3 linked regions of the Arabidopsis thaliana genome follow. The protein of the gene in region 2 interacts with the protein of the main gene of each other region in a pairwise test. Each region holds a gene or a part of one and is shown on either strand. Other genes may lie near its edges.

What was found. The genes of interacting proteins can lie anywhere in the genome.
Region 1: the proteins of AT1G01440 (region 2) and AT3G56680 interact in a two-hybrid assay, tested with the Arabidopsis thaliana proteins (one large-scale study listed by BioGRID).
Region 3: the proteins of AT1G01440 (region 2) and AT4G21705 interact in a two-hybrid assay, tested with the Arabidopsis thaliana proteins (one large-scale study listed by BioGRID).

Annotation. Positions count from the first base shown.
Region 1 is NC_003074.8:20,989,431-20,994,200, reverse strand, and holds AT3G56680 (Single-stranded nucleic acid binding R3H protein), read right to left. Parts: upstream 2,922-4,770; 5' UTR 2,665-2,921; coding exon 2,544-2,664; intron 2,045-2,543; coding exon 1,417-2,044; intron 1,318-1,416; coding exon 1,056-1,317; intron 806-1,055; coding exon 755-805; 3' UTR 515-754; downstream 1-514. Other genes in the region: CIP111 (Cam interacting protein 111), read left to right, coding at 16-194, 281-332; AT3G56670 (F-box/associated interaction domain protein), read left to right, coding at 4,206-4,610.
Region 2 is NC_003070.9:159,128-164,980, forward strand, and holds AT1G01440 (hypothetical protein (DUF3133)), read right to left. Parts: upstream 3,827-5,853; 5' UTR 3,360-3,826; intron 3,154-3,359; 5' UTR 3,093-3,153; coding exon 1,441-3,092; intron 1,352-1,440; coding exon 1,291-1,351; intron 1,176-1,290; coding exon 952-1,175; intron 866-951; coding exon 808-865; 3' UTR 501-807; downstream 1-500. Other genes in the region: AT1G01450 (Protein kinase superfamily protein), read right to left, coding at 4,978-5,853.
Region 3 is NC_003075.7:11,532,457-11,536,436, reverse strand, and holds AT4G21705 (Tetratricopeptide repeat (TPR)-like superfamily protein), read left to right. Parts: upstream 1-1,569; 5' UTR 1,570-1,619; coding exon 1,620-1,853; intron 1,854-1,935; coding exon 1,936-3,180; 3' UTR 3,181-3,466; downstream 3,467-3,980. Other genes in the region: NRPB2 (DNA-directed RNA polymerase family protein), read left to right, coding at 1-54, 132-554, 646-753; AT4G21700 (DUF2921 family protein, putative (DUF2921)), read right to left, coding at 3,593-3,980.

The DNA.
Region 1 (4,770 bases), on a different chromosome or scaffold from region 2:
CCTTTTATCAATCAGGAGAGTCTTGAAATGGAGGAAATAAGCATGCGACATTTAAAAGCTGCGATTAGCCAAATCGAACCAACAGAGATTCTGTCTTACAAAGCACTGTCTGAAAAATTCCAAAGACTTGTCCATACAGACCCACAAAGAGAAGAGGAGGTTACACAACCAGGAAACAAAAGCCGATCTCTATGGTAATATATATCTCTATTATCCATTCTGATCTCTATGCTATTTGAAGTTGTAAGTTACACTCACTTTGATGCTGTTACTTTTCCAGGACACCATTGAGATCAGTTGCCATGTTTCTTCGCCGCCACATTGCTTCGTAAACAAATGTTGAAACCAGCAAACTTTGGAAATTCTCCATCACTAACGTACGTATTGTGTTTGTTTAAACTAGATATTGTTTTTTTGTTGCGTCTCACAGACTTGTACGAATCAACGGAACAAATAACATGAATGTAAAGATTTGGAAGGCTGATTATTTATCTTGTGTAATGCAAACCTAAAGGACAGCTTTTGCAGATTTGGAAGACATTCAATTCAAAACAGAGAATTTCGATGAAGATTTGACCCACAGGTAGTTCATTGGTTTTCCATAATAGACAGAATCTGATAATTGTAAAAGGAACAAAAGGTCTCTTCATTCTGAATTTTGACATTACAACTCCAAAATTTCCATTACAACAGTTCCTAGGTTCTACAAAAAAAAATGGTAAACAGAGATAAAGATCGACAAAGAGGCAAGCACCTAGCGGTTCTGCATGTAGTCGAAGCTCAAGGGTTGTTGAACGAACTGTGCCTGGAGAAACAAGTTACAACTGCTTTCAGACAATCATTGGAAACAATGCACCAAACCAACTCAATTGCTTTTTTCATTTGTTTTTGGAAGAGTTTTAATAGAATCCATTTCTCTTAACGAGTTCTCAGCTATGCATAAGTATATATTAAACATGTGGGTGAAAAAATTTCAATATATGGTCCTTATATTTGGACAAAAGTTTTTATTCCATGATCGCTCAAAGAGAGTAAAAAGGATCAATGTTATTTACCTGAAGAGAGCCATTCCTGAACTGCTCATACGGATGAGCATACATCATAGCTGCATTAGGCCAATGCATATACATTGCATCCATTGTGGTGCCATAGGGACTCATGATTGAGCTAGGATGTGGTCCGAAGCCAAGAGGAGCAGGAGGACTTGGAATTTGGTTATATCCAGTGAATCCCATTTCGTAGTATGGTGTCGGTATTTGCTGAATGTTGAAGGGTGGTAGATTGAAGTTCTGATTCACCGGAAGGCTCCTAATGTACCTGCATTGACACACACAATTATCATCAACCATCATGTATGAAACTTTTTCGCTAGTATAGTAATGGTTTAGCCAGTAAACTAACAGCTGAGTTACTCACCTTTGGTGTCTGCGGTCATAATCAGGGTCAAACCGATCTTTCTCTCTGTCTCTAAATATTGCAACACGAGATGTTGGACCACTTTCCCTGATGCTTAAGTTCTTCTTGACCTCAACGTAAGCATTCTTAGATACTTGCTTGTCATCTCTGCTAAGACTTGCATTCCTCTCATACACCTGAGTTTCAGATGAAGAGTCATCACAACTAAGACCAGTAAGACCACTGAATATGCGTTCTCGAGCCTTGTCATACTCTTCTTTCCTCTCTTCAACACTTCTAAGAGGACCACGATTCTTTTCCAGATCACCAGCGCCATATCCAGATCCTTTAGAAGGTCGAGTCTTGATGGAAACTTTCCTGCTCTCAAACTTACCATTTTCTGATTGTTTAGCCACCGGGATTTCAGACAACCGAACAGCAGGAAATTTGCTCTCTGTAGTTTTCGTCACAAGGATTCTGTTTTCATTTCCATCAGCACCACTCTCTTGGACAGCTGTAGCTAGCCCATAATGGTTAGCAACACGATGGGCTGCAAGACGAAGATACGAAGTAGGAAAATGCTGGAACTCAAACTGCTGCTGTTCAGGGTTCTGCAACAACCTTTGAACATCAAGTTCCATCCGCAAAACTAACACAACAAGAGAAACAAAACAAAAGGCTTAGTTACAGTAGCAAGAAACACAAAAGCCAGGACACACCACAGGCAGTTCCACACAACCACACAAAAGCTAAGCTACTACCAGATAAAGGAGATATATGTACCACAAGCAGTTCCACATAAACCACACAAAAGGTAAGCAACTATAAATGTTGAACACCATGGACAGAATAAAAGTTTACATCTTTGATAACATTAACCATGGATAATACAGTGCAGAGAAGAGAGCTAAATTCAGCATGGGCATCAACATAATCGCAAATCTAAGAAGAGAGCCAGTTCCTGAGAAACCCAAAATCCCCAAATTGCGGTTAAATTAACCTAACTATACCCAGCTAAATTCAGATAAGACCACCAATCAAAATTTCAAATTTGTTAATCCAGATGACAAAAATCAGCTCTAATTTCAGGAAATAAGGTTAAACGACACGAATCAGAGAACAAAAAAAAGAAGAGAAACGGAGCATACTCGTGAGACGATGGCGAGAGTTGTGCAACGCCTCAACGAGAAAAGGATCCACATTAAATCCATAATCTCCGATAACCGAACCACCGGTTACCACGGCAGTTTCCGGCAACACTACGTCCATGAGAAAAAGGAATGGATGTTTCAGAGAGTTCTGGATAGCTTCCTCGCCGCGTCTCTTGCTTAAAACCCTTGGGTTTCTTAATCTCTCCGCAGCAAAGAGAAGAAGACAAAATCAAGAGGAAGAGGAGAATAGAAATCGAAGCATATTGAGAGCGGCGAGAGAGAAGAGGAATGCAAAACCAAATCTTATCTTTCTCTCTCGGGAAGGCAAAGCCAACGAACGAGAGGGAAAGGAAACTTTATATTTTTTCCTTCTTTATTTTTTATTTTTCTCCTTTTCATTGAAAATAAATATCTCATATAATTTTAATTTTTTAAATATAGTTTTTCTCTTCTATTTGGACCCACGATAACATGTGTAGGTATACTATATAGAGCTTATATTCTAAACAAGCATTTTGAAAACATTTCTTTCAAAACAGAGACTCTAAACAATGTCCGTGCTGATTGTCTTGGTAAGAAGGCAAGAGCACGAGATTCTATTTTTTCCCATGTAAGTTCTTCTACTCCGAACTAGTTTTCTCTCGAAGAAAACCGACCCGTTTTTAGCTTAAATGGATGACCTTATTTTGCCGTAAAAAACAACAACAGTAAAAGCATATAATAACTCCAATTTTCATTGTTACGGACATTTTTGCCCTTAAACTATGAGCTGGAGTTGAGAATGAGGTGAAAAGAATGCGTTTATCTTCTAAAAAATGCATCCCCATCTCTGATTCAATTTTAAGTTTCTTTTGACATTCAGAGATATATGGCTTAGATAGTGGATTTGCAGCTTCGACGGTAGACGTGAAGCTTTGACGGTAGCACAAAGATTTGGTGGTGGTTCACGGCTTTGACGGCGAGGGGTAACGAACGACGTCAATGGTAAACGCTATACCCTAGAATTAGACTTGTAAACCCAAACCGTCAAATATACAGTCTACAATTCTTACATACACACAATAACACAACACTACAACCATCCTCATTATCATCAAACACCATTAACATGAACAAAAATCAATGTACTTGTAGACATGATTATGAACATCAATTGAGCAATCAACAAAGTATCAATCACTTCTTGAGTTCCTTAACCTGCACAAAAATCACTGAACAAAAAAACGTGCAAATCGTAATACCAAATCGTGGGACTTTTTTGTTTCTTGTTGTTTTTTCCAGATCTCAAAATGTGGGATGTTAAAAATCTAGATCGCATTCACATCTCATGAGGACCAATTGTTAATCGTCTGAATTTCCAATCGTCGCTGACATCACTCTGTAATCAATGACTCCAAAGTTGTTGGTGTTGGTCGCAAGTATTTTTGATTTCTAGTGTAAAACGTAAAAGTTCATCAACAAAGAAAGAGCAACATCATCTCTCTGTAAGGGTAAAAACAACTTTCCCCAGGAAAGAAGTGCCTAAATCTAAAGATCATTTTAAAAGTGCCTAAAATAAAATATATATCTAAGACAAATGCCTTATTTGCAATAAACTCTATATACTATATACTATATAGAGAGCCCTCGTTCATTAGTCTAAGGTTTGACAAAACAGAGATGATGACGAGAGGACGCAAAGAGAATAGCAACGAGACCTCACCCTCGCCGACACTACTTCTTCACGGCGGAGTTATCGATATCCCTCTGAATACTGACAGTGGAGTGACTAAAAACACTCCCGGCGAAATCGCACTATTGAGGTTCAAATCTGTCTCGAAGCTGTGGTCATCCATTATCAGCAGTCGTAGAGACTTCATAGAATCGATAGTGACTCGATTTTTGACTCAGCCTCCTCATGATGCCCATTTCATCTTCGGCTTCGATTCAGGCCCTTACGTGGAATGTTTCTTAGGCTTATCGTCTACTTATCCTCCAAATACGGACATAGAAGCAGTACTATCAATCCCTGGGAGAATGGCGCAGTATGTTTACGGTTTGATGTGTTGTTTGTCTGGTTTTAAGGTAGTTGTATATAACCCTACCACAAGACAGTCCTTTACACTTACCAGGGATGACACATTGATTTATTATCCAGGGGAAACTACTACAACATATATAACTCTACCTCTAGATATAAATTGATGAGTTTTGATATCAGGTCTGAATTTTTTTATCATGTTGA
Region 2 (5,853 bases):
CAACTAAAGACAGAGACCTCGCACTTAGATTTAATGGTTGAAACTTGTAACTAAAACTACTTGTGAGTATATAAATTAGTATCTAGTTTATGCTTTACACATCTAATTAGACGAAAAAATATATTTTGTCTTCTGATAACCGTGGTAATTTTCATGCTAATTTTGTTTTAAACGTTCTATCTAGAGAAAAAAAAAAAATCGTTCTATCTAGACGGTAGAATTAGTTCTCGGTGATTTAAAACATAAACTAATCTTTAGACATGAATTAGTCGTTTTAGACAGACTAGATTATCGACTCTGTTTTTTTATATGGAGTAGGGTACACCACGACCACGAGGCCCATTGTGAATAAATTATTCCATGGGCTTTAAATATTTGCTACGTGGACCCATCTTACTTGAAGTTGATTTTGGATCTACCATACCAGTGTGTTTTCTTTCTTGAAAACGATTTAACAAGTACACACAGCCTGGACAGATCTATAAATATATACATTTATCTTTTGTCACAAAATCAAACAAATATTATTTTATTTCCCAACAGGCAACAGGTTATCCACAATAAAAAATGATCAATTTACATAAACCAGATCACAAGATATAAAACCATACGGTTTATCTCTTAGACAAAAAAAAAAAAAGTAAGAGAAAGAATGGAACATTGTAAGAGAACCCCCAAAAAAGAAACTAAACCCAAAAACAGAATAGCAAATAAGTTTTGGGTCAGAATATAAGCAAAGATGTGTTATATATCAATCACAAAGAATAATTTACAAATCAGAGAGGTCAAAACAAAGCTGACGAAGCTTCACGAGACTAATGATCTTGGAACCCTCATGCCAAATCCATGCTTCACCTTGTCAACCCTGATTCAATTTTCAACCATAAAATTTCAGAATCAACTAAATGATTGATGTAAAAATTTGATTACATGGAATTGTGTTGTGCTTACGTTGGAGCTAATCTGCCAAGACTCTTAAGTTCTTCACCAGAGTCTCCATCAAGAACTCTTCCTGCTATATCAATGATGTAAGAACGGTTCTTGCCTCGAGGAAGACCTCTACTTGATAGTAACTCTAGGTCTCTCTCGTGAAGCTCTCTTCCGTTTACAAACACACTCGTGTTTCCTGCACCGCAGTTATCCGGCATTGGTCGACTAAACTCCTCTATAAATGGCTGCATCAACCAACAATTGTTTCCCATTTCCTCATCAAGTACCAATCAATACAAAGAATTATGAAACAGTGTACTGGAATTCAAAGCAATATAGAAGAGATGTGAAAGTTCTTACTGGTATTATACCGAGACAAGGGTTTCCCATCACTCCCCAGAATCCAGCACGGTAATCATACCTGGTCAGAATCATAACATAAAGATGGTTTCTTGAACGACTGATCAATTCTTTTGACGTAGATTTATCAAAACGTAACCCCAAACATACCAGTATTTGCCAGCTTGAACTGGCCCAGCTTGTTTCTCAGCGCTAATAACCAGATCTTCTGGTATCAGATACCCATTCACCCAAACCTCTAGCTGCTCGTTGTTTTGGTCGTTAGAACTGATATTATTTGTGACCTCTGCGAAACTGTGCTCACTACTCTGCTTTCGGTTTCTTGGTCGTCTCCCTTCTTTGCTGGCTTTTGAGATCCTTGAATCTTCAGACTCCTCGGTGTTAGTATAGTACTCATTATAAGAAACATCTGTCTCAGTAGCTACTGATTCTGATTTCAGGGAGTCTTGTTTCGTGTATGATTCTTGCTTATAGTACCCTAACTGCGCCATTCCGTAAGTGATTGCAGCTCGGTTTACATTAGAATACTCAAAGAGCTCAAGAAGATTGGACTTTTCCGGAGGAGGAGGAGGAGGAACCTTCGCGCCTTGGGCTCTGCTGCGAACAGACTTGACGACCTGTTTCCGCGGCTCACTAGAAATGCTTGACCTGTCTTCATCGTTTGAGTGATCACTAGGCGATACAGCATGGACAATTTTCGTTTCCTGGTGTATTCTTGGTTCTTCATCATTGAGTGGATAATCATCTACCACAGGGATTGGTGAGCTTCTATCTTCAACCTCTACAGAAACCCGGTTCGTAGTTTCCCCCAGGGCAGAAGATGAGAAAACAAGCTTCTTATCAACAACTCTGAACGTGATAACCTCAGAACAAGCACCACATTGCATCTTTTGTTGCCTTTCCTGACCAAGAAGCTTCTTCTTAGGCACATATAGCAGCTCAAAGCAACTGTGACAAGCAATAAAAGGCGCACCGCCTGCTAGAGGATGGCAACGACGTGAATCAGTATCAGACACAGCTTGTTGAACATACCCACGAGCAAAAGCACCACCCATTTCAGAATCAATTTCACTAGGCCACCTCGTGTGAACACCACCATGTGGACTAAAGGGTCCAACTTTCTCACCGTGGTGCAAAGCCGGGCTAAATGGGACATCACCATACCTACTTGGCGTACCCGGAAAGAATCTAGGGTCCTGTAACTGTGACTCAAGTATATCAGAGCCAATGTCTACATACTGTCCTTGAGGATAGGGTGGACGAGGCGGCATCTGATTAGGGTAATGACTTGGTCCTTGATAAAAGTTTTGAGGTATCCTATGCACTGGGAATCCATAAGGGTCTCTATAAGCTGGAACATGAGGTTGGTTACTCGCGGTAGGATACATTCCATAAGGAAATGGCTCAGGGTATGGATTGTAATAAGAAGGAGGAGGTCCATGATGGGCATGGAAACCCATTGGTGGCTGATCAACAACAGTAGCATTATTACCTCCACCACGGAGAAGATGATCTTTAATAGAATCAAGCTTTCTCAAAAGCTCGGCTTGTTGTTTATCAGTGTACTGAATTGGGTTGTTTCTGGTGGTTGTGTTCTTAGAAGAAGAAGAATCTGAATCAGTCTCTTCCTCCTTTCTCGAGCTCTTGACGAATCTCTGAGAACCAGGTCGTGAATTCGAATCGTCTAGGCGATTTCTCATCGGGCTAGTAGCGGATTCATTGAGATCCTCCTTAAAGCCTCTGTCTTCATCACTTCTTGAGGAACCAGTATCTGCTCCATAAACGTCACCGCTTGTCCTCATCGGAAAAAAAAAACAAAAATTCTCCGACGAAGACCAGCTTCTAGGGTTTTGCTTGTTTAAACTGCAACAGAAATAATAATCCTTGAATTCAAACAAAATCCGAAATTATCAACAAATTCTCTAATCGAATCTTCTCCAATCCGCGAATAGTAACATGGTAGAGCAAATCTTAAAATTTTCCTAGAGACTAGTTCAAGAGTTTCCATGATTGCACAGCATCCAAAACGGGAAAGACAAGACAGAGAGATATAGGAAAATCAAACGCACCTCGAAGAAGAGTGATTCCGGCGTCAGTATTATGAATATTTTTTGGGCAATTTCTTCGTCTCCGGTGAGAATCAAGCTTTTAGTCTCTTTGACGCAGCCATTTTTTAATATTAAAGGAGTTTTGTGAAAATTTCAGAGGAATTTATTTAAATAATCAAAAGACTTCGAACAATAGCTCTACTTTTCTTGCTTCGTTTTCCCGGGAATCTACCAACTAGGAACAATTAGATCGACAATGGAGTTTAAGAATTTTGACATATCTAGAAACTATGAGTCTTACCAGGTCAAGTTGACCAAGAGATAACGTGACGACCAAAAATAATGCAACAAAATAAAAATAGTAGTAACTAATGAATTGGTTGGATCGATTCGAATTTAACTGCATTTGAAAGGTGAAAGTTAAAGTACCAAATTAGGTCTTTGATATATTTGTGTCTCGCTGCTCCAAAACCAACAATACCTTGAACTACACACACTATTCATCATGGCCATGGTGGGTTTAGTTTATAACGATGAATGTGTACGTATTTTATACATGTATTGTATAATATTATCTTGTCAAAATAGATGGTGTGCCATGTTCCCAGACGTGCTCATAACTTGAATTCTTTTCATCATCATCATCTTTAAAAAGTTTAGAGATGTATTTTAGTTGTTGGAATTGTATTTTATATTAGGGTGACAATGACAAATGTTATAGCTGTAAAGTATTTTTTGTACAAATCAGCTGCTTAGTTTGTTTACTCCACTTGCTTATAATGTTATATTTGACAAATCTGTTGGTATTAAAATCATAATAACGTACTTATCACCAAAAAAAAAAAAGAAATCATAGCTTCATTCATCTAAAACTAGAGTGGGGACTTTTTGGTCATATCACAATCAATGACATAATAAAAGCGTCGGAGGATGGATGTGACGGAGTCGGCGGTGGCGGAGATATTGAAATTGACGAGAGACAGAGCCAAAGCTCCGAACCACGCCATGTCTCTAGTCCCCGGCGGAATCGCTGTTCCCCTTTTTTGTTAAGGTAATTTTCAGGCAGATTAGTCAAGGTTCCTTATTTTTGATGTTTTTATCCACATTCGAAGCCCAAAATTTGATTAGTGTAATTTGATGGTGTTTGATAGATTGTAGAAATAGTGGAGCAGGCCTAGTTTACTTCACTTCAGCGTTGAGCCTCTACAGTCTAGGCACATAATTTTGCCTCATATGATTTGTTTCCTTTAAGATAATATTGTAGCTAGTAGCTACTGAATCAATCAGTCACTAGCCTGAACAATATACGAGCCTAGTAGTATCTGTAGGAAACTTTGAATAAAGAAGAATTTTATCGTTTTCGATAGATATGTAGTGGAGTGTGTGTCACCACATACGAGTTAGTATGTCTTTTGACTTGTACAGCATTTTGAACTTGCTATTATGAACCTATTCTTTTTCCCTGCAGACTAGGAAAGCTCAGAGTCAGAGGCATGTCCAGAGTTTGATCGTCGTATCCTTGGGCTTATCAATATCAGCTGACTCTCAGAGTTTGCTCTCATGCTTTGCCCACCACAAGGGCTTAGTGGCGGATGCCTTGATCGTCCTCTCGGAGTTGTCCCTGAACAGAATCCAAAGGCTAGTGACACAAAACAAAAAAATTAGTACAAGTAACCAAGTTCATATTTGTTAGGGAGCCTATATATATATATATATATTGGCTGATGATAATCTCACCTGGTTTTTGAATTGGTTTCAGGCTAGAAGCTCTTTTCAGAAGATTTGAAACCTGCTTCTTGCTCATACCAACATCATTTGAGGAGCATGACAATCTTCTTTCCTTGGCATATGACAACTGCTCATCTGATCCTGCCCCACCCTCATCCTCGCTACACGAAGCCCATTCACTTCCTGATTCCGATGGTTCCCGGAGATTATCCTTTTCACACGTTTTTGCCCGTTCCACAACCCTATATGCAAACATTTGAAAAGGAACCTGTGAAACTTTGGTTAGCTCTGTAGATTCCCAAGAAAGCTTCTGCAATAGCTTTGTCTCGATCTCGCAGTAATCCACAGTAGGCGCAATGGACGGGTCTTGTTGGCTACTACTGTAACATTCCGGGTTCAAAGCTAGAAACCGTTTGATATACCGGAGAATTCTGCTTATCGATGAGAAAGTTGGACGCTGATTGGGATCAGCATGCCAGCATCGTTTTGTCAGGTTTGTTATGAACTTTGGTGAATTAAATGGAAAAAGCGGTCTCTCCCCGGCCCTAATGTTTCTACTCATCTTATCTCCTTGCAGGTGGCTATCTTCAAATGGTACTTTACCTGTCAGAAGCTCAAAGCTAACCATCCCAAAGCTATACACGTCAGATTTATCACTATACTTAAGGCTTCCTGCAGTTCCACTCTGTTCTTGCTCCTCTAGAACTTCTGGAGAATACCATATGAATGGAAAATTCTCATTCTGACTCGTCAAAGAAGCACTTTTACTAGAGAATCCCTTGACAGA
Region 3 (3,980 bases), on a different chromosome or scaffold from region 2:
GTGGCAGCTCACATGGGAAAAGAAGGAGATGCTACTCCCTTTACAGATGTCACGGTAACTTGCATTTTCCTTAGCTGCTTAGTTAGCATTGGGCTTGGTATTATTAGTTTTGACCAATGTTGTGTCGTTAGGTGGATAATATAAGCAAAGCCCTTCATAAGTGTGGGTACCAAATGCGTGGATTTGAGAGAATGTACAATGGTCACACGGGCAGACCACTCACAGCTATGATATTCCTTGGACCAACATATTACCAAAGATTGAAGCATATGGTTGATGACAAGATTCACTCGCGTGGACGAGGTCCGGTGCAAATCTTAACAAGACAACCAGCTGAAGGGCGATCACGTGATGGTGGTCTCCGTTTTGGAGAAATGGAGCGCGATTGCATGATTGCACATGGTGCTGCTCACTTTTTGAAAGAGAGGCTGTTTGATCAGAGTGATGCGTATAGGGTACATGTGTGTGAAGTCTGCGGGCTCATTGCCATTGCAAATCTGAAGAAGAATTCTTTTGAATGCAGAGGTTGCAAGAACAAAACAGATATTGTTCAGGTAAACATAAACTGTTGTGCAAGTGGTTCATATTCATCTTTATCTCTTTCATGCTCATTTGTCTGATGTCATTTCATCTAAATATTCTCAGGTATACATTCCATATGCTTGCAAATTACTCTTTCAAGAGCTTATGTCAATGGCTATTGCACCAAGGATGCTCACTAAACACCTGAAATCGGCTAAAGGCAGACAGTGAGGAGCTTGCAATCTGATTTTGTAGAAACTTGAACTTTCCTTCTCTCTTGGTCATAGCTTTGTAACAATACTAAATTTACAAATTTGTGTAATATTTCTGTACTAATTCTTAAAGCTAGAAAGGTACCTTATAAGATATATTTATGGATTCTTTAGTAAATTTGCTGCTCCTAATTATTCTCATGGGGCATCCGTATGGGGATTCACTTTGTTTCCTTCTGCTTTCATCATCATTGTGCCTTATCGATGAGCTCAACATTGCGAAATCCATTCAATAGCTGTTTCAAACATTAATGATATCTTTTCTATGGTTTTCTCTATTCCTTCAATATTAGTAGCTGCAGCATATGCACTGAGACGAATACTAAGAGTAAATTGGTCAAAAGAGACTCCATTCTTCTCCATTTCAAGCATCAGATCATCTAATTTTCCATGCACATTCATCTGATTATACATATTCATCATACGATTGTAACAACGTGTGTCCATGGAAACACACGCTTCCTTCATGGCTTCCACAAGCTTCTCAGCTTACGATATTAGCAGCTAAGAAGACTAGAAAAGACCGCAATAATCTTTGGGAATGTTATCAAAGAAAACCTCTGCTTCTCCAAGTCCACAGACTCTTGATATCAAGTTTATGCGTGTACCAAAAGCTTGATAAAACATAGTTTTTTTTTTTTTTTTTCCTCAAAACATAGCTTTTATTTGAGAGTTAAAATGTTCAATAGAAAGATTCAGGTGTAAATTAGATAATAATAAAAGTTTTGAGGCTTAATATGCAATTATCATAAACTTTCAACCTTTATTTGTATTTTTTCATTTTTGTAAAGTCTCAATCTTTGACTATCTTCTTCGCCGGAACCGATGAATATACTGAGACGAATTCCGGCGAATTTGATTGCGAGCAGATATTACTACACTAACAGAGTAAAAAAGACGACACTTTACTCAAAAATCAGTCCTTTAGGAGACCCAAAATCAAGTGTTTACCCAGAACTCCAAAACTGGGTTCAATGCGGTAAAAAAGTCTCTGTTGCTGAACTTATTCGCATCGTTCACGATCTTCGTAGACGCAAACGCTTCCTCCACGCTCTCGAGGTAAGTAATTCTATACAAATCAAGTCTCTTTCCCTCTTTACACCGAGAAAAAAAACTAAACTTTAGAATTTTTCAAATTCAGGTTTCGAAATGGATGAATGAGACTGGTGTATGTGTGTTCTCTCCGACAGAACACGCGGTTCATCTTGATCTTATTGGTAGAGTTTATGGATTTGTCACTGCAGAAGAGTATTTTGAGAATCTTAAGGAACAGTATAAGAATGATAAGACTTATGGAGCTCTTTTGAATTGTTACGTTAGGCAACAGAATGTTGAGAAGTCTCTGTTGCATTTTGAGAAGATGAAGGAGATGGGTTTTGTTACTTCGTCTCTTACTTACAATAACATTATGTGTCTTTACACGAATATTGGTCAGCACGAGAAAGTTCCTAAGGTTTTGGAGGAGATGAAGGAAGAGAATGTTGCTCCGGATAACTATAGTTATAGGATATGTATTAATGCTTTTGGTGCTATGTATGATCTTGAGAGGATTGGTGGGACCTTGAGAGATATGGAGAGACGACAGGATATTACTATGGATTGGAACACTTATGCGGTTGCGGCTAAGTTTTATATTGATGGTGGTGATTGTGATAGAGCGGTTGAGCTTTTGAAGATGTCGGAGAATAGATTGGAGAAGAAAGATGGTGAAGGTTACAATCATCTCATTACGCTTTATGCTAGGTTAGGGAAGAAGATAGAGGTTTTAAGGTTATGGGATTTGGAGAAAGATGTGTGTAAAAGGAGAATAAATCAGGACTATCTTACTGTGTTGCAGTCGCTTGTGAAGATTGATGCTTTAGTTGAGGCTGAGGAAGTACTTACGGAATGGAAATCATCGGGGAACTGTTATGATTTTCGAGTGCCTAACACTGTGATTCGTGGTTACATTGGAAAAAGTATGGAGGAGAAGGCAGAAGCGATGCTTGAAGATTTAGCAAGAAGAGGGAAAGCTACTACACCAGAATCTTGGGAACTTGTGGCTACTGCTTATGCGGAAAAGGGTACTTTAGAAAATGCTTTCAAGTGTATGAAAACTGCCTTAGGTGTAGAAGTGGGTAGCAGAAAATGGAGACCTGGATTGACGCTGGTTACAAGTGTTTTGAGTTGGGTCGGGGATGAAGGAAGTTTGAAAGAAGTAGAAAGCTTTGTTGCATCTCTTAGGAATTGTATCGGTGTGAACAAACAGATGTATCATGCTCTTGTCAAGGCTGATATAAGAGAAGGCGGACGTAACATTGATACTCTGTTGCAGCGTATGAAAGATGACAAAATTGAAATCGATGAAGAAACCACAGTGATTCTCAGCACAAGAAGTCCATGCTAAAAGTTTCTTATTCTTCCTTGACGTGATGATACCAAAGATGTCTTCTGAGACAAGGATTTAGGAATGTGATTTCTTAACGGTTGAGTCTTCCTTCAGCAATACTTATTAGTACCAAATGTACCAAAATTTTATTTTGTTAAGAACACTCTCTAGACTCTGTTTTCATAGCATCTATAGAACAGTCTACAAGAGAATCCTCTGTTCTTTTTTCAAATGCAGTGTACTATCATATTGAATCAGCAGAAGGCAAAGTTAGAGCTTTGGCAATTTGGTTCCATTTTTATTGAAGTTTATATTCACTCTATAACAATTTGCTTTCCCACAAAACTGTAGATATTACACAACCTAAAACAGTTAAGAACAAGATAAATGAATTGTATGACAACAAAACTGTGTGTCTATATATGTATTGTCAAGAGTCATTGGTATTGTGTTGCTCACCAGCTTGTTGAAGCTCTACAACTTTCTCATATCCCACATATTCTCTGAATCTCTTTGGAATGAAACAACGACCACCGAATCTCTGCTGCAAGAAAATCAGAAACGCAAAGAGGAAACCGATGCAGAGGATAATAATATCCCATGCCGTAGAGTAATAATCCATTTTGTGGTTTGCATAAATGAATGACCAATCAAGAATCTTCCCGTAGCTGTGACTTCTATACAGATCATAAGCATGAGGAAGCAATCGAACAAAGCTGTTTCCAACGTAAAACAAAGCAGCAAGAGGCTTCAAGTCCGAGTTGCTGAAACCGTTGAAGAGTATTTGAGGAAGGAGGAATGCGTCAAGCATCAAACCT